2 linked regions of the Diceros bicornis minor genome follow. The protein of the gene in region 1 interacts with the protein of each later gene in a pairwise test. Links are inferred from orthologs where the notes say so. Each region holds a gene or a part of one and is shown on either strand. Other genes may lie near its edges.

Region 1 (10,391 bases):
CAGATTCAGCAATTGCTGCCCTGTGGAAATCAGGGCCCAGTATCATCAGATCTTCCTATTTCTCAAGAGAAGTCAGAAATCAGAATTTCTATATAAAAATTTAGAAAATTGTAAAACACTGTGTGGCAAGTTATAATAATCTGCAAAGAAACCAAAACTGAAACCGAGCAAGAAGAGGTTAAAAAATCTTCCCTGGGCTAGAAGAAGAGAGCAAAAACTTTGAGATAAGCTTTGCTAACTGCAGCTGTGCATACTCTGCATAATCAACTGTTGTTTAAAACTAACCAGGTCTTTCTGTCCCTCCTCAGTATATGAGTGAGCTGTCTTTCTCAGGAAATCCAGGTACAGACATCAAGATTCAGCCTCACAAGGCCAAACGCAGGCTGAAGATGAAAACTAACCAGAAAAGTCCAGACAGTCAAGGGAGAGAAATTCAGTCTTCAAGGCCAAACACAAGCTGGTGGGAAGGTGCCAACCAGCAGGTCCACATGCTCCCCCTCCCCTACCTGAAACTCCAGTAGACGCTCCCCCTCACAACCTTTAAAACCCCTTGCCTCCCATCTTTCGGGGAGATGGGACAAATCTGAGAGCTCTTGTCTCCCTGCTGACGTCACCTGAAATAAAACTCTTTCCTTGCCGTGAGCCTGGTGTTCCAGTTTTATTTGGCCCCTCTTGTGTGGCGGGTAAAGAACCTGGGTATGTATCCTGTAACAAAACCAAACCAAACAAACAAAACCCCAAAGCCAACAACCTTCATTTCTCATCTTTGGAGGTTGCTAAGGTAACGACTCACTATTCTGAAAATTCATAAAGAGACAGAATCAAGCATTTATCTTGCCCTTCCTATATGAACTGTACTTCAAGGTAATTAGTTAACAAATGAAACATTACTCTTTATAAGAGAATTATGGCTAATAAATTCAGGTGAAGTGACAGAAATAGAAAAATAGCCATTTTGTAATCCCTAACAATGGCAATGATCAACAGCTGCTAAAACCACTAGTTGCAAGGGTAACGGAGGAAACTTTATAACGTGTGGTTCAGGCTGACGTCACCGGAACACACTGATCACGCTCAGTGTTGCTGAAAACGAGACAGTCAGACATCATGCACCCCAGATGTCATACAATAGAAATGTGTTCAGAGCATCACCTCTGATACAGCCTGGCAGGAAAAAAATCCAGAGACAGAAAGAAAAAAAGGAGCCTGGATTTGATCAGACCTCTGGGTCCCAGCATCAGTTTACAAGAAATATGGAGAATAAAGGAACATATTAAAATGAGGGTAAATCAGCCAAATCCAGAAAAGGGGAAATTCTACAGGGCAGTTTCTTCCACAAATAAATGGCACTAGAAACAAATGCAGACACTTATCATCCAGATCTTGGCTGTTAATACCGTGTTCTAATAAAAGGGACCAGGGCTCATTGGAGAAATACAGGATTCTAAGGCCGGGGCAAGGAAAATACAAGGTGAGCCTGGAGCATCCTGTAGTGTCAGAAAGTAAGAAAGCGCTGAAAGGAAAAAAAGGAACATGGGGCTTTGTGGAAAGGACACAAGAGCCACCTGACAGAGCCACAAAGGCCAGAGCTGGAACAATTTGAGTAAGAAAATAAAGTACTATTGGATTTTTAACCCAAAGTATAAAATAAATATACTTAAGTCCATACTGATATAAACAAATGATTGAATAAATAAATAAATGGAGAGAAAAAGATAAATCTTCCTTACATAAGAATTCTAAATGCAGATACTCTCCCCTCAGGAGGCGGAGCTTAATTCCCATCCTTTTGAGCGTGGGCTGAACTTAATGATTCGCTTCCAAAGAACAGAAGGAAAAATAGCCACTTTACAATGAAGAAACCTGGCAGACACCACCTTCACCAAGTGACCAAGGTTAACAGCACCCATGATAACTCATGTTAATATCATGGAACCCCTAACATGATACAATGAGAAGGGCACTTCACCTCTGTGGTATTCTTCCCCCAAAACCCCAAAGCCCAGTACAATCATGAGAAAAACATCAGAGAAACCCAAACTGTGGAGGATTCTACAAAAAACCTGAACAATACTTTCCAAAACTGTCAAGGTTGTGAAATAAAGGAAAGACTGAGCAACTACCACAGATTGAGGGAGACTAAGGAAACATAATAACTAAATATAATGTCAGATCCTGGAACAGTAAAAGGACATTAGTGGAAAAACTAATTAAATTTGAATAAAGTCCATAGTTTATGCACCAATGTTAATTTCTTAGTTTTGACATGGTTATCTAAGATATTATTAGGGGAGACTGAGTGACAGTTATGTGGGAACGCTCTGCACTATCTTTATAACTTTCCTATTAATCTAAAATTATTTCCAAATACAAGGTTTATTTTTTTTTAATGCAGAGAAAATGTTAGAGATTTTTAAAATATTGAAACATAACGAAACACAACGCGTGGACCTGATTTTGATCCAGCCTGGAACAAGCCAACCATAAAAAGACCTGTTTGAGACAATCAGACTGAGTGTTAGATGCTAACAAGAAATTGTTAATTTTGTTGGGTGTGATGACGGTATTGTGGTTATGTTTTAAAATCCTCATCTTTTCAAGATACAAACTGAAGTACTCACAGATGAAACAATATGTATGGATTTTGCTTTGAAGTACCCACTCCCACAAAACAAGCAGAGGGGAGGAGAGAGAAGAAATAAGATTAGCATAGAGCTAATGATTGTTGAAGCTGGCGAAGGGTACATGGACTTCACGGTAATGTTCTGTCTACCACTGTTCGCATTTGAAAATTTCCATAAATAAGAAGGCAAAAGAACAGAACCAAAAGAAAAACAAAAACACTGTGGGCCGAAGCATACACGTAGGCAGACAAAAATAGAAGGCTGCCAGTTTGAAGCCATTGAAGTAAACAGACAATTTACCTAGAGATTGTATGATTAAAAGTTCTGGGAGTAACTGGCAAATTTCAGGTTCATTGCTTTTCTCCTTATTAATTTATTGGTAGTAGATCGGAAGCCAACGATTAAGTAATAGTCAAAAGTAAAACAGAATTCCATCAACGACATTCCATTTATAAAGAAAAAACCCCTTGAAAGGAAGGAGTCTTCTGACTCAATGAAGCATGTCTGTAATGTTAGTGGGAGAGGACTCCACAAGGCTCCGCCATTTATGTTTTCCTCAATAGTCTCAAGGCTGTACGACAGGAAGAAACAGCATATAGGGTACCTCAACTCCAGCAGCAGCTAAAACCCATCTTACGGATTCCATCCGGCCTCTCCCGTTTGGATAGTGGAGCTTGGGCTGCGCTGCCATGATGGCCTTTCAGGTTTTCTGAAAAACAAATCCAGCAGCTCCTCGCACACGAACAGTCTTAATTTCGTGTCCTCAACCCAGTGCTCAGGAGCTAAACGAATATTCAGGATTTTGGCACAGGAAACTGTTTTTTTTAAATTATTACTGCGTTCTCTCTCACTCAATAAAAACATGCCACCATTTTAAAACATTTAAAAAAACAAAAAACGAACCACCTTGGCTTTCATATTGTTTCTATTTCTGATTTCTTATTCTGGATCTTAGGAAGCTGGGGCCATTTGTTGTAAAGACATCTGTGCTAGCAGTACGGTACTTCACAGATTCAGAACATCATATACTTTGACCTTGAAAATCTTAGATTTTACAAATTCGGCCTGGAGAGGCCAGACGCGGAGAAGAATTACACGCCCACTGGAACCTCTGCAAGTATTCGTACTTTCACATGCATCATCATATTTGATTATCACAGCAACTGGGAGATGGATAGGCTAAGTATTACTATTGTCTGCAAAATGTGCGTCCCTCGCCACGCCTGCGGTAGCCGCCCCCGGGTCCCGCACGTCCCCCGCCCCCGCTGGGAGATGAGCCCCCAGACTGGCGAATGCTCCCACGCCACGCAGTCGGCCACCCGAGACGAGACTCCCGGGGACTCCGCGCCCCCGCTCAGCCCACGCTGGGCTCGGCCCGGGGAGGATCCGAGCCTGCCTTCCATCAATGGATTCAGACTCTGCAGAGCGGGTTAATAAAAATACGCACGCTGAGCCAAGAACGACCCCAACCCCAGCCAAGGGCCCACGTATGCCCAGATGGGGGCAGAGGCGCCAAAGACAAGAGGGAGGGAGACTAGAGAAGGATTGAATGGAAGAGTGGTTACCGGATGGATGGGAGAGTTAGAGGCTCGAAGCCGGGAGAGTAGAGGGGAGGAGAAGGAAGAGGAGAAGGGGCTGGTGGGGGCAGCAGGGGAGACAGACCTGGAGGCCGCTCGGAGCACCTGGAGCCGCACAAAGCCCACCACAAGTGCTCTGCGGCGAGGCGGGAGCAGCGGGCGGCCAGAAGGCACTCACGGTGGGCGAGGCTGCGGGAAGATTTCACCAATAGAGACGGCAGTATTTAGCATGCCCCACCCATCTGCAAGGCATTCTGGATAATATAAAAACAGCTCCAATTTAAGCCAATTTCAACAGCAATTTTAGCATTTTGAAGGGTGAAATAACCTGTAAAATGTTAGTTAGATTTGGACTTTAGTTAAAAGTTCCTATTAGCGCTCAGGCATGTGGTAAACAACTCGACCTATGCGAAAAGAGAGCATTCTCTACAGGGTTTATATACCTCGTGCTCAAGTGTGGTCCCTCGGATGTGAGGGCGATCTGGCTGCGACATCTGTCACCCCATTGATCGCCAGGGTTGATTCGGCTGATCTGGCTGGCTAGGCGGGTGTCCCCTTCCTCCCTCACCGCTCCATGTGCGTCCCTCCCGAAGCTGCGCGCTCGGTCGAAGAGGACGACCTTCCCCGATAGAGGAGGACCGTTCTTCGGTCAAGGGTATACGAGTAGCTGCGCTCCCCTGCTAGAACCTCCAAACAAGCTCTCAAGGTCCATTTGTAGGAGAACGTAGGGTAGTCAAGCTTCCAAGACTCCAGACACATCCAAATGAGGCGCTGCATGTGGCAGTCTGCCTTTCTTTTGACAATGTAACTAAGAAATCTTTTGACAGTGTAATTAAGAAACTTTTGTTGGGAGGCAAAAAACAACAGGCATCAACGTGAAGGCTCAGCACACTGAACGACTTGTAAATACCAGCTGTAAGGTAACTTGTGTAAGGTACATACAGCGAATTTTTGAAAGGTGTTATGTAGGCAAAGTACTATATAACATAAAAGTGCTGTTAACGCATATTTTATTAAACAGTAGAACTTAATTTCTCTCATTTTGTGTATATACATATGTATATATATTTTTATTATTATTTTTACTATACATAGCACCTTCCTGGATGGGACGAAGGTGGGGGCATTGGGGTGAAGGTGTCAGTGGGGCTAAACAAGTAATTTGGCTGGTAAATAAGTTGAAACTTTTAAACATATTTTAAAACCATCAAGGCTATATTATAGAGTATGATGCAAAATTCACATGAATTTTAAACTTAAAAATATGTACCTTCAAAAGGACTTCAAAACTATTTCTTGTTTTTAGAGGCGGTTTCTGCGCTCAGACTGTACATTTGTTGATTATTGTTTTCACCCAGGAGGGGCTCTTGAGACTACCTGGCTTGAGAAGACTGTGGTGCTGATCAATCGCAGTAACTAATACAATCATATATTATTTTCAGTAGATTTCTAACATAAGTGTGGAGAATGAATTGGGACAGTGCAGGGTCGAGAAAGAGAGACCTGTTAAATGTCCGTGTGAGTTCAAGTAGCACCGTGAGTCTGAAGAACATGGGTAAGAAAAGGTGAGATATTAAGGAGTAGAGGAGAGGAGGAAGAGAAAAGTCTAGAATGATGCCGCTCCAAACACACACACACACAGCCACACACACATTTCCTTTTCCATCCTCGTCTGTTTTTCATAACATTTATTGTCCTCTAACATACTAGATATTTTATTTATTTTGTTATCTGTCTGTAGATTTGATAGAAGGTAAATTCCTTGAGGTTAGAGATTTTCATATTTTTAAAACATACTTTTGTATATCCTGCTCCTAGAATAATGCTTAGCACAGAGTAGGCATTCAGAGAATACTTGTTGAAGGAAAGAAGGAGAGAAAAGAAGGAAGGAAAACAGGGGAGGGAGGGAGGGAGGAAGAGAGAGAGGTTTGGGGGAAATAATAATCAGTGGATTTGTCTTTCATTCCTATGAGCCATCCGACTGGAAATGTCCACTAGACAGTTGAACAAGCCGGTGATGACTCAGAAGAGAAGACTAAGATGGATCACACTGGCAGCAACAGGATGAGCTGATCCAGAGAAAGGATATAAAGTAAGAAGAGAAAAAAATCAACAACAGCTGGGCACCCCTCGAGTCAGAAAAGCCACACTTTCAAACACGAATAACAGTATATGTTCAATTTCATCTTTCTAATTCTGACCTAACACAGATTACTCAATTTAACCTGGGTAGGAAGTCATTATTTTCCAACCCTGCTGAAACTGATCATTCATTTTTTCCAACCCATCTTTCTACAAGGATTCACTTGAATTAAACTAGTTAGGACAAACATGATTATTCAATTTTGTTCATAAACCAAACATTTATCTCCATTTCCTTATTTCTAATTGTTTGAACCATATCAAATTGCTGATACTTTCCTATTTCTTTCTAACCCACAAAAATGGCAACTTCATATGTCCAACCTAACATTACAGGGGTCAAACTATCCTAGCAATCTTGTTTACCTGAAAGAGAAACTAAGGCATCATCATATGACTCTATTATTACCATGCTTGTGGAGAGATACAAGTCCTGTTATAATAATTCTGCCATTCTATGACAGGTACCCTCAGGTCATGTTATTCCCTGCAAGCCCCTGAAATCATGCTATTCTTGGAAACCTTCCGAGTTGCTCTCCGTCTCGGACAGTCTTATTCACAGTGTCTATCCATCTACCTAATGTATTTTCAGAGGCCCGGGGAGAGCCTCTCAGCCTTTAACCCTTCACCAACCTACTCAGTAGCAGGTAAAATTGCCTTAAAAATCAACAGCTTTAAATCTCAGTTTAAGAGAAGCTTTATACGTAAGTACTCCAGGGAGAGGGAAACAATTGGCTTAAATTCAGCCTTAGCCATAAATGACTGGTATCAGACCCTATTCTAACAATGCGTTTTTATAGCAGGAAGGATGGCTGAGGGCTTGAATCTGTGGGGCTTCTGAAGGGGCACGGTGGGCCCATATGCCATAAGGTCACACAGTCAGCTCAGCCATGTTCTGAGGGTGAGGGGCACATCTAGGGATTCACCAATACCAGTCCGATTGGTAAAACATGTTCCTGCACACTTCTTTCAGGGATTCAAAGAATGTTTGGGAAATGAATTTCCTGTGGAATCCTGTATATAATTCATGAAGTTATGAGCTTCTTACATACAAGGTAGGTATTAATCGTGATGACATCAGCAACAAGAAATAGTTTTTGACCTGGTTTTTTTTTTTTTTAATATCCTTAGTCACCTAATTTGCTAAAAGCTAAATTTAGAAAACCTCCACTTTGCAGGATAACTTCCTACTGTGGCTCTAGTGTGTGCTTCCAACTCCATGGCAGTAACACTGTAGTATGCATTAAGGAGAAGTTATAAAATCTCAAAATTCCAAATTAGGAAATAGTACTGTGATCTTTTGATGGCAGAGCACGAAAACAAAACCCGAACACTCCAGTCAATTTTTCTTAAACTGTAACTTTATTTGGAGCAGAATTTTCCTTACGTCAAGTTAACGTTTTTCAACACCTCAGGACAAACTATTCAAGAAGCAACACTTTATTTCAGTGGAGGCTTGCATAAGTGGTTTTCTGTCCTCCTATCTTCTCATCATTATGAATATTTGCTTTATAAATAAATATTCTCAGTGACTCCCTTGTAATCCAATCAGGGGACTAAACTGCTCTCAGTACTGAGAAATCTGAGATCAGAAGACTGTTCAGATCATTTTAAATTCACATTAGCACAGTGTCTTTAAGAAACTGATAATACAGATCAGTGTGACATTTGCCTCCAGTTTGTCTTCTTAATGGTTTCCATGAGAACGTCTTCACAATAAATTATATAAAATACAGTACTTTGGTTGGAAATTTAAAAAATAATTCTAAAAGTTAACCACATATATTAAACAAACAAGTTGCTACAGTGTGCTTTAAATGAGATAAAATAATTAGTATGTCAAATATTTTCTTATAAACATATTGCTTTTGGTTATACACCGAGCTGAAACATACAGCCTGCATTTTTTTCCTTTCTTAAATGGCACGAAACAATGGCTTGATGGTAGGGAAATGCTACTTCATGAGAAAACATGGTGCCCGTGAACTCCAAGGGTACCGGTATTGGTACTTAAAAACAAAACAACTCTTGTTTTGTTTTACATGTCTTTCCTTGATTGTATTCAATTTTTGATAACTCTGGAAGATGACATAGTGTCAATTTATTAGATGTACATGGTGGTCCTTTAGGCAAGAGACGTGTCTAAAAATTGTTTGAAAATCAATTTTCTTCCTACTTAAATCCTATCATACATGAGCTGGGGGAGGTCTTGGTAATGAATGGAATTTTATTGTAAAACGAACAATGACACCAAGAGTAGCTTTTACGCTCATGCAGTTTCCCTGCAGTTTACACATGGGCCCCCTGGCACACCACTGTCACTGAATGAGAGCCAGCCCTGCACCATCTCCTGATGTCCTGGAAAGCTTTCTGACTCTGAAATGAGGCACAGTCACGGGTAGGTGCAGTGAAACTCATCATTCCTCTTGGTGTCTTGTGGTACATTTCATAATTCTATAGTAACTAAAAAATATACGCAACAGGTAGATTTTATTTTCACTTAACAAAAAATGGTCACTATTCCCTTCTATAGTAAACAGCTTGTACACACAATGTGTCCTTTACCCATCTGGGGGAAAAAACAGAGAACGTCAGGATTTTGCTAGTTCTTTAGAATTGACGTTGTTTTTTCAGTCTTCTAGTTTTCTCAACTGTGCATTAGCTTCTTGACTTTCATATGAATAAATGTGTTTGGCTTCCCAAGGGAAGTTGTTTGCTAATAAACCAAGGAAAGAGGAAAAGGAAGAAAAGTGAAATATTTTCTGAATTTGGGCCCTACAAAAGTATTAAGAAACAATTTTATAATGTGTAATAACCAGGTAACTAGGTTTTTCAATTAAAAAAATATGTAACGACCTTAACATAAGCTAGAGTGCCAAGAATATGGTATTCACAATCCATTTGCTTCCCTAAAGGGTATTTACAATTTAAAACCAGCTTTCCAGCAAGCTGGGTAAGGTTACAGGTTAAATTATTCTTTATACAAAATACAGAAAGGGAAAATAAATATTAACCTCAGTAAAAGACTCATCTCTGAAAACACATTTTCTGTTGCTTTAGATAATGAGTTGAGAATATAATACAGAAATGAATTCAACTTCAAGTTGTGCATACATATACATATTTATTTTCTGAAGCTTTGCTGCCAGTTTGTTAACAGGAAAATATTACTTATCAAATCCACATCCATTATGTGCTTTCCTCATGCCTCTAGTGCTTGGTCAAATACATTTTTGAGCCAGATTCCCCAAAGCAGAAATACTCCCTGATTTTAGGTTCAGGCTCTCTGGGAGCCACAGCGATTTGTTCAGGCTGCAACGTATTATTAATACATCAAAGCAATAATTTACCAACTTTATTATGCTGAACCATGTCCAAGTGCCAATATTCATTTTAAGCTACAAAAATGACAATTTCATATGGGTCAACTTGCTCTATCCTGGAACCTGGAACCAAATGCCTTGAGAGAATGTGAGTCAATACACTATTGCGATTATATCATATTCACCAGTGGTGACCTTCCCCTTGCCTTTCAGGTAACCATGAGTGGAGGCAAATTTGTGCCCCAAAGAGATGGATGAAAGTGGACCTTTTGTTTTTTTCTATCTCCAAACTAGCTTTGTCATTTTCAGAACTGCTGTAAACATTCCTCTCAATGGGACAGCCTCTGCCCAACAGAGTTCTCACTGTTGAAAGAAACTACACAAGGGTTAAGAGTTCAAATGTGGCACGCCATGGACACTAACATCACGGTAACCGTGACTTCCCAGATAAGTGGGACATCTGCCATACATCTTTTCTGCTTCCCAAACTGCCCTGAGAATTCGGCTAGGACAGAAGATTATTCATTGTCTGTTCCCAGCCAGGCCTGGAGAACTGAGCTGAATGCAAAATTCTATCAGTTATTATATAAAAATCTTCTGCTGCTTTGAAACAGCTTTTTGGTCATGCATCTTGGTAGGGATATAAGTTTAATTGACTGTGTTAACCTTTATGTGGAGAACCTTTTGGTTGAAAGGCTTCCCTTTTGTGGGTACTTATACAATTT
Region 2 (10,645 bases), on another chromosome or scaffold:
CACATCACTGTACATTGCTGGCATCCTCATACCAGGGAAGAATTTCAGCGGCAGACGCCTATCATTTCCAGCTGGTTCATTTTAATAAAATCAAGAAACACTGGGAAAAAGTAATTTCTTAAATGCTCTACATAAGTATTTTCTTTCCTCCTAGACTCTGAGTTTCTTGGAACAAGACTGTATTTTATTTGTCTCTGTACATCCCAGCATCTAGCACACAGTAGATCCTCAGTAAATGTTAGATGAGTGGATAAACGTTCCTAGAGCAAGTCTGTCTGGTAGGAACGTGGTTTGTCTTACCATGGGATCATAGTCTTTCAGGAAACTCCAATTCTGAGCCCTGGAAAGGAAAACACATTTGCAGTGTGAGATCTTGCAGTGACATTTTTACAAACGGCTTTCATGGTGTCAAACTTACGCGTTTGTTAATGCTGCTGATGCATTTGTTACATCGTGGAGGAACTAAAATGATTAAGTGAAATGAATGCCAAATGTCGACCAAGTATTTATGGCGTATCCTATAAAATGAACAAACATTTCAATCTTCCCAGAGAGGAAACGATGTTGCCAGAGGAACAGCAGAGGACGCAATCTCACCGCCTCTGCATTGTCCAGGCCACTGGGCGAGTCTTCAAGTATTTTGTAAAGAAAAACCAGTTTCCACTTCCCCAAGCCTTTGGAACCTTCCAGTGTGTGTGGCAGAGGAAGGTGGGGAGGGTGAGGGAAAAGAGGGTGGCAATGAAGGGACCATCCGGCATTACCTGTGCTGGTAATTTAATTTTATTCTAATCTATTTTTAAAAAGTCAAACAATTCTATAAGACATAATAAAAACAGCCTTCTCTGCCCCGACCCTCACATTCCCTGAGCCCACGGCCTAGAGTCGGTTTCCAGTCTTTTAGCCTTTTCTTCACACCTTTCACTTCCATATTCTAAAATAATAAACCCATACTGCCATTTCCTGAGTTTCTGCAAATGTAAACTTATCGATTGACTTTCTGTTACAGGAGATTATGAGTTACCCTTCTTGCCCTTTGTCCTCCCTTCATTTCTTCCAAAATAACTGTATTATAGATTTTGGTTAAATTGATATTTATTGATTATAGCCATATTATTACAAATACTATTTATGATGAAATAAGTAGTATAATATGATCCCAGTTCCATCTTAAAATGTTTTCCTAGCATTAATAATTACATTTTCTCCCAATTTTCTTAGGTTTCCATGTACTGATCATTGATTCCAAACTCTCGAACAAAATTATAAGGCTCTTTCAATATGTTCTCCACAAAATGAAACACATCAGGTAATCGATAACTTCATTTAAGTTTTTTCTGCAGAGGCCGCCCTCTGGGAGCTGGGGTCCTCTGCTCCAATGAGACGGGCTGCTCTCTAGGACCAAGGCACAGCCCCTTCCTTCACCACCACCCTGGGATTTCCCTCTTTCTGGATCCCATGCCTTCCTTTCGTGTTTACTCTCCTGCTTTGTGGAGTGCATCCTCCAGTATCTGTGGATTCATGTATTTCTTTGGTTCTGGAAAATTCTCAGACATTTTCTCTTCAAATATTTCATCTCCCTCACTCTCTCCTTGGGGAGCTCTCTTTGAAGTTATGTTGGACCTTCTTGCTCTGTTCTCGAGGGTTCTAATTCTTCTGTCATGTTTTCTATCTCCTTGTTTTTCTGAGTATTTTCTTCTAATCTATCTTGACTTTATGAATTCTCACTTCAGTTGTGTTTTGAATTTCAACTATATACATTTTCATTTCTAGAAGTTCTTTTTGGTTCTTTTTCAGGTTGCCTAACTGTTCCACAGACAGACTTTGAATGGAGCCTCCTGTCTTCAGCCCACCCTTCTGAGATGTTGGGTGCAGCCACACCTGAGCCTTCCTGGGAGCTCCGTTGCCCTCCTCCTCCATCCTCTCTGTAGTTCTTATGCCGCACTTTCCCTGCTCTGCCAGTCCATCTCTCTCCATCTTCCACAATGTCTTGGCCCCTCCCACCCACCATCGCCTCCTTTGCTGTCATGAAGGAGCCATGTTTCAATAGCTTTGGTTTTGAATTAACAGAAGGCAGGGACCTTGATCTCGGAGTCATGCTAAGTCTTAGCGAGAGCCAGCGAGGTATGAGGAAAGAGCGCTGGGCTCTCGCCCTTGCTCTGCTGCCTGCTTGCTGTGTGGCTCTCAGCAAGGCCACTGTATTCTTGAGCCCTCAGTTTCTCTGTCTATAAAAAACAAGATGAGGTCGGTTTATCGAGCGTTAGAGACGTGGCTGGTCTGAACTGAGATGTGCCATAAGAGTAGTATGAACGGATTTCAAAGACTTGATACAAAGAGGAATATCAAATATCTCTTTGATAATTTTTTTATACTGACTACATGTAGAAATGATAACATTTTGGATATATAGGATTAAATAAAATCTGTTATTACAATGGATTTCACCAGTTTCTTGTTACATTTTTTAAGGTGGCTACTAGAGAACGGAACATTGCGTATGTGGCTCATGTTGTGTTTCTGTTGGGCTCTTAGATTTCCCCACACCCTTTCCTCCTGGCTTTTGTGACTCCTTGCTCTCCGGGCTTTCTTCTCTGGCTGCTGCTTCTCGGGCTCCTGGCTGCTTTTCTGCCCATCCAGTCAACGTTGCAAGTTCTGGCCGACCTCCTCATCTCTTCTGATGCCTCGAGTTCTTCCGGGGAAAGCTCATTCCCGTCTCCGGTGTCAACGCTCACCTTTTTCTCTTTTTAATCAAGATGTAATTCACATATCATAAGATTCATCCATTTAAAGTATACGGGTCAGTGGTTTTCAGTATATTCACAGAGTTGAGTAACCATCACCACTATGTGATTCCAGAACATTTTCATCACCCCAAAAAGAAACCCCGTGTCCACTAGCAGTCACTCCCCTCTTCCCTGCCCTCAAGCCCTGGGAGAGCCCCTGTCATCTGCTCTCTGTCTCTGTGGGTTTTCAGTGCCCAACTCTCGACTCAGAGTCAACTGCCTCCTGGGCGACTCCATCTGGACGTGGTTCGGGCATTTTGAACTCTGCCAGAACTCAGCATCTTCACCCCATACCTGCTCCTCCCATCAATTATCCAAGCTGGAGATCTCTGCACCCTTAACCCTCCTCTCACGTCTACTCAGTGTCACGCGTTCTTCCTGCTTGCCCATAAATACCTGATTCTGTTCAGTTTTCCCTGCACCAGACGGCCCTGTCTTTGTAAATGTCCCCCACACCCCAACACACACACACACACACACACACACACACACACACACTCACTCCAATCTATCAGCAATTCTTGTAATTCTACCATCAAAACATTCCTTGAATTCTTCCTCCTTCCACAGCCCGTCCCCTCACTGACTGCCTCAGCCACACGGACATTCTTTGTTTTGCTTTGTTTTTAAAACACACCAAACTCTTTCTTGGCCCTTTCTCATTTTCAGGTCTCAGCTTGAATGTCACCTCCTCAGAGAGGCCTCATGAGCACCTGCAAAAAGGAGGCGCCCGCTGTCCCCATTCGTTTCCTCCATGACACCAGCCACACTTGGTGCTCGTTGCTCTGTCCTCATTGTTCTGTACTGGGTTCTCATCCGTCGTCCTCTGCTTGCTTTCTGGCTGCTCTGTCCTGAGAAGGAAGGCTCCGTGGAGCCACGACCAGCCTGTCTTGTCCCCCATTGCAGCCCGACAGAGCGGCTCTCCTGGGAGTTTTTGAATTGAATGAATGCACGAAGGGAAGTCCTTTCCCCAGGTCAGAGGGCCAGTGGGCCAGCGTCTCTCCCCAGACTGCTGCCACCGCTTCCTGGCCCCCCACCTGCAGTCTCCCCTACCACCTGGCTAGAGGAATTATTCCAATGGGCTGGGCTGATGGGATCCCAGAATGAAGGCACTGGGGCTGCACTCCTCCCAACTCTCTAGGCCCAGGTCTGGCCACGGCCAGGATCCTCCCTCCACCGCCCCCCCCTGCCCCCCCCCCCCCCCCCCCCGCCCCGGGCCCCCGCTGGCACACTTTTCCACCAACTCTCTTTGTCTGGCTTACTCCCTCTCACTCCCCTTTCTCCTCCTAGATCCTAAGTCAGGCTTGGGGGCAGGGCAGGAGGGCAGGACAGGGCACTCACCAGCGCCGCTGGCTCCGCCTCTCGGCCTCCAGGAGCTCCCTCCACAGCTGGTCCTGCTGCACATTGTCAGCTCTCAGAGATGCCCGCTTGGCCTCTGGGTCCTGGGGGGCCTGGTGGCCACCAGCAAGGCCCCTTCCCGCCACAGGGCTGCCCTGGGCAGTGGGGGAGACTAAGGCTGGTGGCCTGATGGAGGGCAGTCGGTACCCAGCTGATGTGGTTCTCTGGAGCCCAGGGATGTGGTGGCTCCCCATGAGTGTAAGTGTGTGTGTGTGTGTGTATGTGTGTGTGTGTGTGAGAGAGAGAGAGAGAGAGAGGGAGAGAGCACCTCCCGCCTGAGCTCGGACCTCTCCCAGGACACCTCTCCCTCCTAACCCTGTGCAGGCGTTCTCCTCACTGCCCCTCTGGACTCAGAGCTTGGAGTGGCCGATGGGGACGGAGCCCTCCAGGCTGGGGTGAGCATTGGAGTCCAGCTGTGTTTCGTGTTTTGAGTTTCTATCTGTGTTGACAGTTGCCCTGGGAACGGGGCAGCTCCCCAGTGTGCCCAGGAAGGGGCGGGCCTGCATGTGTGTGTGTGTCTGGCACATCTGAGCCCCACGGTGGGGTGGACAGAGTTCCTGGGTCTGTGCCATGCCCAGCTCAGTGGCCCTTCGGCTCTGCCGCCTGCCCTGCTGGCTGGAGACCTCCCTACAGCATGGGGGAGGGAAAGAGGGGCAGTAAGAAAAGACCTGGGCTCCCAATCGGGACACGGGGGTCTGGACACAGCCTCCTGATCATCGATCATTGCCACATGCCCTTAGGCAGCCCCTGCCCCTTTTGGGGCATGTGAAGGGATGATAATACTTCTGTTCTGCCCTCTGTGGATGCCACATGAGGTGGTGGGTGTGTGGGTGCTTTGTGAACCACAGAGCAGGGACTGGTGTGATGCTTCTGCTGCTCTGTTGGAATGATGGAAGAGGTTATGAGCATACGCCAGGCATTGCATGATATCTGTTCTATCTGTGTAAACCTGGAGGGTTTACAAAGCACTATCCTTTATCTTGCTGGACCCTCCCAACCTCCAAGGCAGAGATTTCCAACCCCATTCTACAGGGGAGGAAATCGAGGCCTTCACCAGCAGGACTGACTGCCCAATGTCGCTCAGCTCCTAACTGAAGAGCTTGCCTTGAGTTTCCATCCTCTGAAGGAAACAGTGAGAACCCGAGGGTGGAGATTCACGTTCCGAACCTTCAGCCCTGTTTCTGCTTGAAGCCGTGCAGCACGAGTTTGCTCTGTGGCCCCAGGCCTGTCCTAGTGTGGCTCAGCTGATCCCTCAGACATCCCCTCACTGCTTCTGCCCAAGGCACTCAGTGCTTCCAGGTCCCTCCGCTTCTTCTTAGCTCCTGTGTGTGTTGGCAGATTCACAGTTGCTTCCATGAAACTGTTCTCTGGACTGGTCCAGCTGGGCGTGATGGTCCCTTCTCTGCATAGCTGGGAAACAGGCACACAGACAACTAAGTGCAGACAAAGCTGAGCTACACAGAGGTATGCGCAAAGCGCCCAGGGTGTGGGGACAAGTCCAGCCAGCACACTGAGCTTGCACCGGGCGCCAGACCTGGGCATCTCTTCTGGATTCTGCTTTCATGAAAGAGGGGCCAAGCAGCTGGGTCTTCACAAGGTGGAAAGGATTTCCCAGGTGGAGAAATTGGGGTGAGTACAAAAACTTGCATGCAAGAGAGAGCCTGGTATTTGGGGGAGTTGTGAGAAGAGGCAAGGCCCGAGGCTGGAGGCTGGGCCGGGCCGCAGGACTGTTTAGAACTGTGCCTGGGAGTCTGTGCACAAGGGGGGGGACACTGCTGGCTCTAAGCCCACAGGTGGTGGCCGGGGAACAATCATCAGGAGGGGACAAGAAGTAGGTGAAGTGACCATTGCCATGCTCCAGGTAGAGGAGGGGATGGAGCCCACACTGGGCTTGCGCAGAGGGCCCAAGATGATAGACGGATGGGTAGATATGTGACAAAGCAAAAATAATCAACTGTTAATTGTGGAATCTAAGTGATGGGTTTATGGGGGTGCACTATACCATTCTTTCAACTGTTTTATGTGTTTATAAATTTTCAAAATAAAATGGGGGGCGGGGGATAGATTTCACCTTCCAGTCCAGCTTGAACACATTTTCTTTCCACAGGTCGCTGTCCTGGAAAAGCGTCCAGATTCACTCTGGGCGGGTCTCACTGCGCCTGGGAGGATTCCTCAACCGGGCCTCCCAGCTCTCAGGCAGGCCTCGCCTGGGAATCAGGACACTGGGGTCCAGTACGCGTGTCCTTAAGCAAGTCACTGCCCCTTCCACACTTCACATTCTGTGATCTAACTAGATATAAGACTTTCCAGCAGAGGACAAAAATCTCTGGATTTGGGGGTTGGTGGAGTTGTATTTTAACGAATTTTTCTCAACCCCAAGAAGGCCTTTAAAGTAGGTGCTGGAAGAACCTTCCAGCCTCCACTCAGGTGTGCAGCGACAGCCGCGACCTCCCTAGGCCAGGTGTGAGCAGCACCTGGGAGAGTCGGCAAAACGGAGTGGGGCTCCGCCCCGCAGGGCAGGTGTGGGCGGGCTGGCAGGAGGAGCCCCGCCTACTTCCTGTAGACTCAGCCCGCTCTAGAGTTGGCGGGCAGAGGGAAGATCCCGGCTGGGGCTCCCCGGTGAGGGGCAGGGCAGAGGAGCCAGAGAGCTTCGGAGGGGCTGAGCAAGTCGGAGGGAGCAGAAATGATGGTCAGCAGAGGAGGGGGCAGGGATGGGTTGCAGGGACAGGCAGGGCTCCAGTAGGGGGAAATATTTGTCTGCATATTTAGCTGTCCCTCATCTTCTCTAAACCTCCCCTTAGGGGATAAAAATTTTGGCTTACCACCACCCCCTCTTCCACCCTTGCACACACCTTGAAGGCTTTATAAAAGAAAAGATTCACAGCCACAGTAGATGATTGGAGGTAAGGAGATAGATGATCAGAGGTAAGGAGAAGTGAGGTAATTGATGATCTGCGCAAGTATAGTCAAGCTTCATGGCTCTTCATGGGACGCATGTTCACAAAATGGTGGTGTTAGCAAGATCTGAGGGTGGAGTTTTCAGCCCTTTGGTGTGGAAAGGAGCACCTATCAGGCATTTGCTCAGGCCCAGTTGAAGGGTTGGTGGTCTCACCTGGCCTGAACTGGACAAGGGAGTCTCAGTTCTGAAAAACGACTCTTAAAAACAATTACTCTGTTGATAAGATGGGGTCAGTTGAACTGGTCCTTGAGGGCTGGTGGTTATGTGATTGCATCTCTTTTTGCCTAACTGTATTATAGATTGTATTGTGAGGATAGACATTGTGTCTCGCTGGGGAACGTTTCCCCTGCCTGATTGTAGACAGCATATAAATATGCCCTTCAGACCATGTTAATTAAACATTGCTAAAGGGAAGTCAAGAGGGTTGCCTGAGCCCACACAGTATGAGATAAAAACTAGAGGCTAATATCAGGTGCTAACAAAAAGATAATAAAAGCAACCCCCCAAGGTAAGTTGGTCTAGGGTTAAATTGTACACTTAGAAAGAGGACCTTTATTAAATGCTTTGTGCAGAATTTTAAAGATGTGGTACATTATCCTAAAGTTTTAAAACAATAGCTGTGGAGTCTTTGTGTATATGTGTCCATATGTATGTTATATATGTGTGATATTTTACCTCCAGATGGTATAATTTCTAAAGAAAAAAAGGAGCTCTGTTTAATTTGCTTAAAGTAGGTGGTTATATAAATTATTTCTAAATGTAATAGAAACTAGCCCAAATGTCTTTCAAGTTAATGTAATATAAAATAATCTTTGGTAAACAAAAGCTTGTTTAAGTTTGTTGGTTTGATTAAAATAGATGTGTCCTCAGAGTTATCAACATTGGGTATAATGCAAACATGCAACCTGGGTTTCCCAGTGAAATAAACTCATGTTATCTCTGTTACAAAATTTGTCAGCAAAAATAATAACTTAACATGATAGCTAATTTTGCCTAATGTCTCATGAAGTTTTTGTGGGTAATCTAAACATAATTGTTCAGAGCAAATGATTTAGATGTGAGACAAGAGTTTATAGATAAACTTTTAGCAATAATTATATTTTATGTTATGTGTATTTAAAATAACTTCCAAAATCTCTGGTAATTTGAAACTTTGAAGTTTTGCTAGGTTAAATTAAATGATGGAAAATTCATTGAATATCTAGATTATTTATAAATAAGATAAAATATTAGACATTAATTACTAAATATAGATTTGTCTACTTTTGGCTTCTTATTACAGACAAACCAAAAGATATTTGGGTCTATTAGTAAATATGTCTTGTGTTTAGTTAAAAGATTGTACTATGAAGTCACATATTTCTAGAAATTATAAAAAGTATTTATAAGTTTGCCAAGCCACAAAATGCTAATGTAAAAGACAGTTCATAACTGCTTACTTCTTAGTTTTCACTAAAAATTAAGGTCTGTAAGGGTTAAGAATTCTAATTAATAAATGTGATTAAAGCTACTAAAAATTAGTAAGGAAAACATCTTTGTATTCAAGAAACGTAAGACGTATGTTTTCAGTAAAGAAGGTATAAGAAGTAAAGATATTTTTGTTTGTTAAAAAGGTTATAGAAGTTTTATGGAAGAAAAACTGAGAAAAGAGTTTTGTGCATGGTCAAGTTGGCTAAGATTAAAATGAATTTAGTTAAGTAAATGAATTTTAATATCAAAAGTAAGCTGGTACAAAATTAAAATTTGGTTTTCTCTCTCTTAAAAGGATAATTTTCTTAAACTTTTATTCTGCTCTTGATAAAGAGATTATAAAATATTTTTCTTTACCTTTTGAGTAAATCTACATAAAAGAAATTCCGTGTTTTGTCAAAATAGTTTCCTATGTTCAAAAAGCTGAGGTCTCTCTATTAAGGTTTTTAAAAACTGTTTAACTCTCTGTGTTTGCCTTTAACATCTTCTCTTGTCACTTTGGTTGACTGGATAACTAAGCCTTGTTTCACAGTGACCTATAGCCCATTTGAAGTCTTTTGACATTTATAGACAGTTATTGTTTTACTCTGCTTTTGCAAATATGTTTCATCTTCAGAGAGTCATGGAAAGGACTCTGACACTTGCTCTAGAATGCAGGTTTCTGATAAACTTTCAGATCATAAAAGTGAACTGGGTAAGAAATTGCAGAGCTCTAACGGAAAAGCTGATGACTTCATGAAACTGCTAACAGAAGATCAAGATCAAAAGTTGATTACAGGGGAGTAAACGAACTGATGAGGTTGATTATAGTTTTTATGACTTTTCATTTGAAATAGTGCTGATTTTTTAATGTTTTGTTTTTTCAGATTTAAGAAAACCTTTTTCTATTTTTTCTTAAGCTAGCTATGACTTATAGCAATTTGGTAAATTATACTTTTGTAAGCAGAATTTAAGCATTTATCTTTTTCTCCCTACCTGATCCCTCCAGAATTTGGAAACTCTTAGTGAGTAAGTATTCTTACCTTCATGGCAATACAGTTGTTTGCATAAGTTCAATGAGAATCTGTTCTCCTTATAACAGAAAACACTGGTTATATTACTAAAGCTTTGACTTTAGTAATATAAGAATGTCGTATTTGAGAGAAACATACATAGACTCAGATATGACCAAAATAGGAACAAAGGAACAAAGATAGACTTTATGAAACAAACAAAGCTACTTGGAAATACTGGCTTGGTGCCTTGCTTACAGGGTTCCCAGCAACCTTGCCAGGTGAATAAAGGTCACTTCCTGGCAGATGCAAAGAACCGCAGGATATTTTGGGGACCTTGAGAAAAGGAGAGTTCACCCAAATCTATAGGTATTGCAGGTGGAGTCTGATGACAAGTCCTTGGCTTTGCTTTCCTGCAAGAGGCCTTCAAAGTTCAATCTGAGATTCCTTATAAAAAGTTCCAGCAAAGCAGATTTAAAAGAGCCTATATGATCAATTGCTATTCTTGCTGTACTTATATAAATAATTGGGCCAACTTTATTGAAACTAGGCTTATTTTGCAAACCAATTAGTCTTAATTTGGCTATCTTTGGTAAAATGAGGGTGATTTTAGGGGCCAACCCCATGGCCTAGTGGTTAAGTTGGGCATGCTCTGCTTTGGCAGCCCATGTTCACGGGTTCAGATCCCAGGCACAGACCTACACAACTCATGGGCGGCCATGCTGTGGTGGCAACTGACATACAAAATAGAAGAAGATTGGCACAGATATTAGCTCAGGATCAATCTTCCTAAGCAAAAACAAAAAGAGGGTGATTTTAGAGAGAAAAATTATGTTTCAGCAGAAACTATAATACACAATTGTGGATATTAGATTCTAGTTCTGATAATTGTCCTTGAGGTTTTTGTTTTCTACCTGTAAACTGGAGTGGATCCTGAATTCTTCTAGTCTCCTGAAATATCTGGCTGCAAATCTCCAAACCAACATTTTCAATTTTTTCCATCATTTTCATTTGGAATCATTGAGAACTGAAACCATGCTTATTCC

Evidence for each region. The genes of interacting proteins can lie anywhere in the genome.
Region 2: the proteins of GSTA4 (region 1) and C12H2orf50 interact in binary tests that used the Homo sapiens proteins (3 or more experiments, as listed by UniProt). The two-hybrid records come from large-scale screens. The link is inferred for Diceros bicornis minor from reciprocal best matches to the Homo sapiens genes GSTA4 and CIMIP5.

What each region holds. Positions count from the first base shown.
Region 1 is NC_080753.1:13,856,720-13,867,110, reverse strand, and holds the start of GSTA4 (glutathione S-transferase A4), read right to left. Parts: upstream 4,351-10,391; 5' UTR 4,287-4,350; intron 3,334-4,286; 5' UTR 3,316-3,333; coding exon 3,229-3,315; intron 1-3,228. UniProt on the Homo sapiens protein: Conjugation of reduced glutathione to a wide number of exogenous and endogenous hydrophobic electrophiles. This isozyme has a high catalytic efficiency with 4-hydroxyalkenals such as 4-hydroxynonenal (4-HNE).
Region 2 is NC_080751.1:69,125,633-69,136,277, forward strand, and holds the start of C12H2orf50 (uncharacterized protein C2orf50 homolog), read right to left. Parts: upstream 4,373-10,645; coding exon 4,122-4,372; intron 341-4,121; coding exon 301-340; intron 1-300.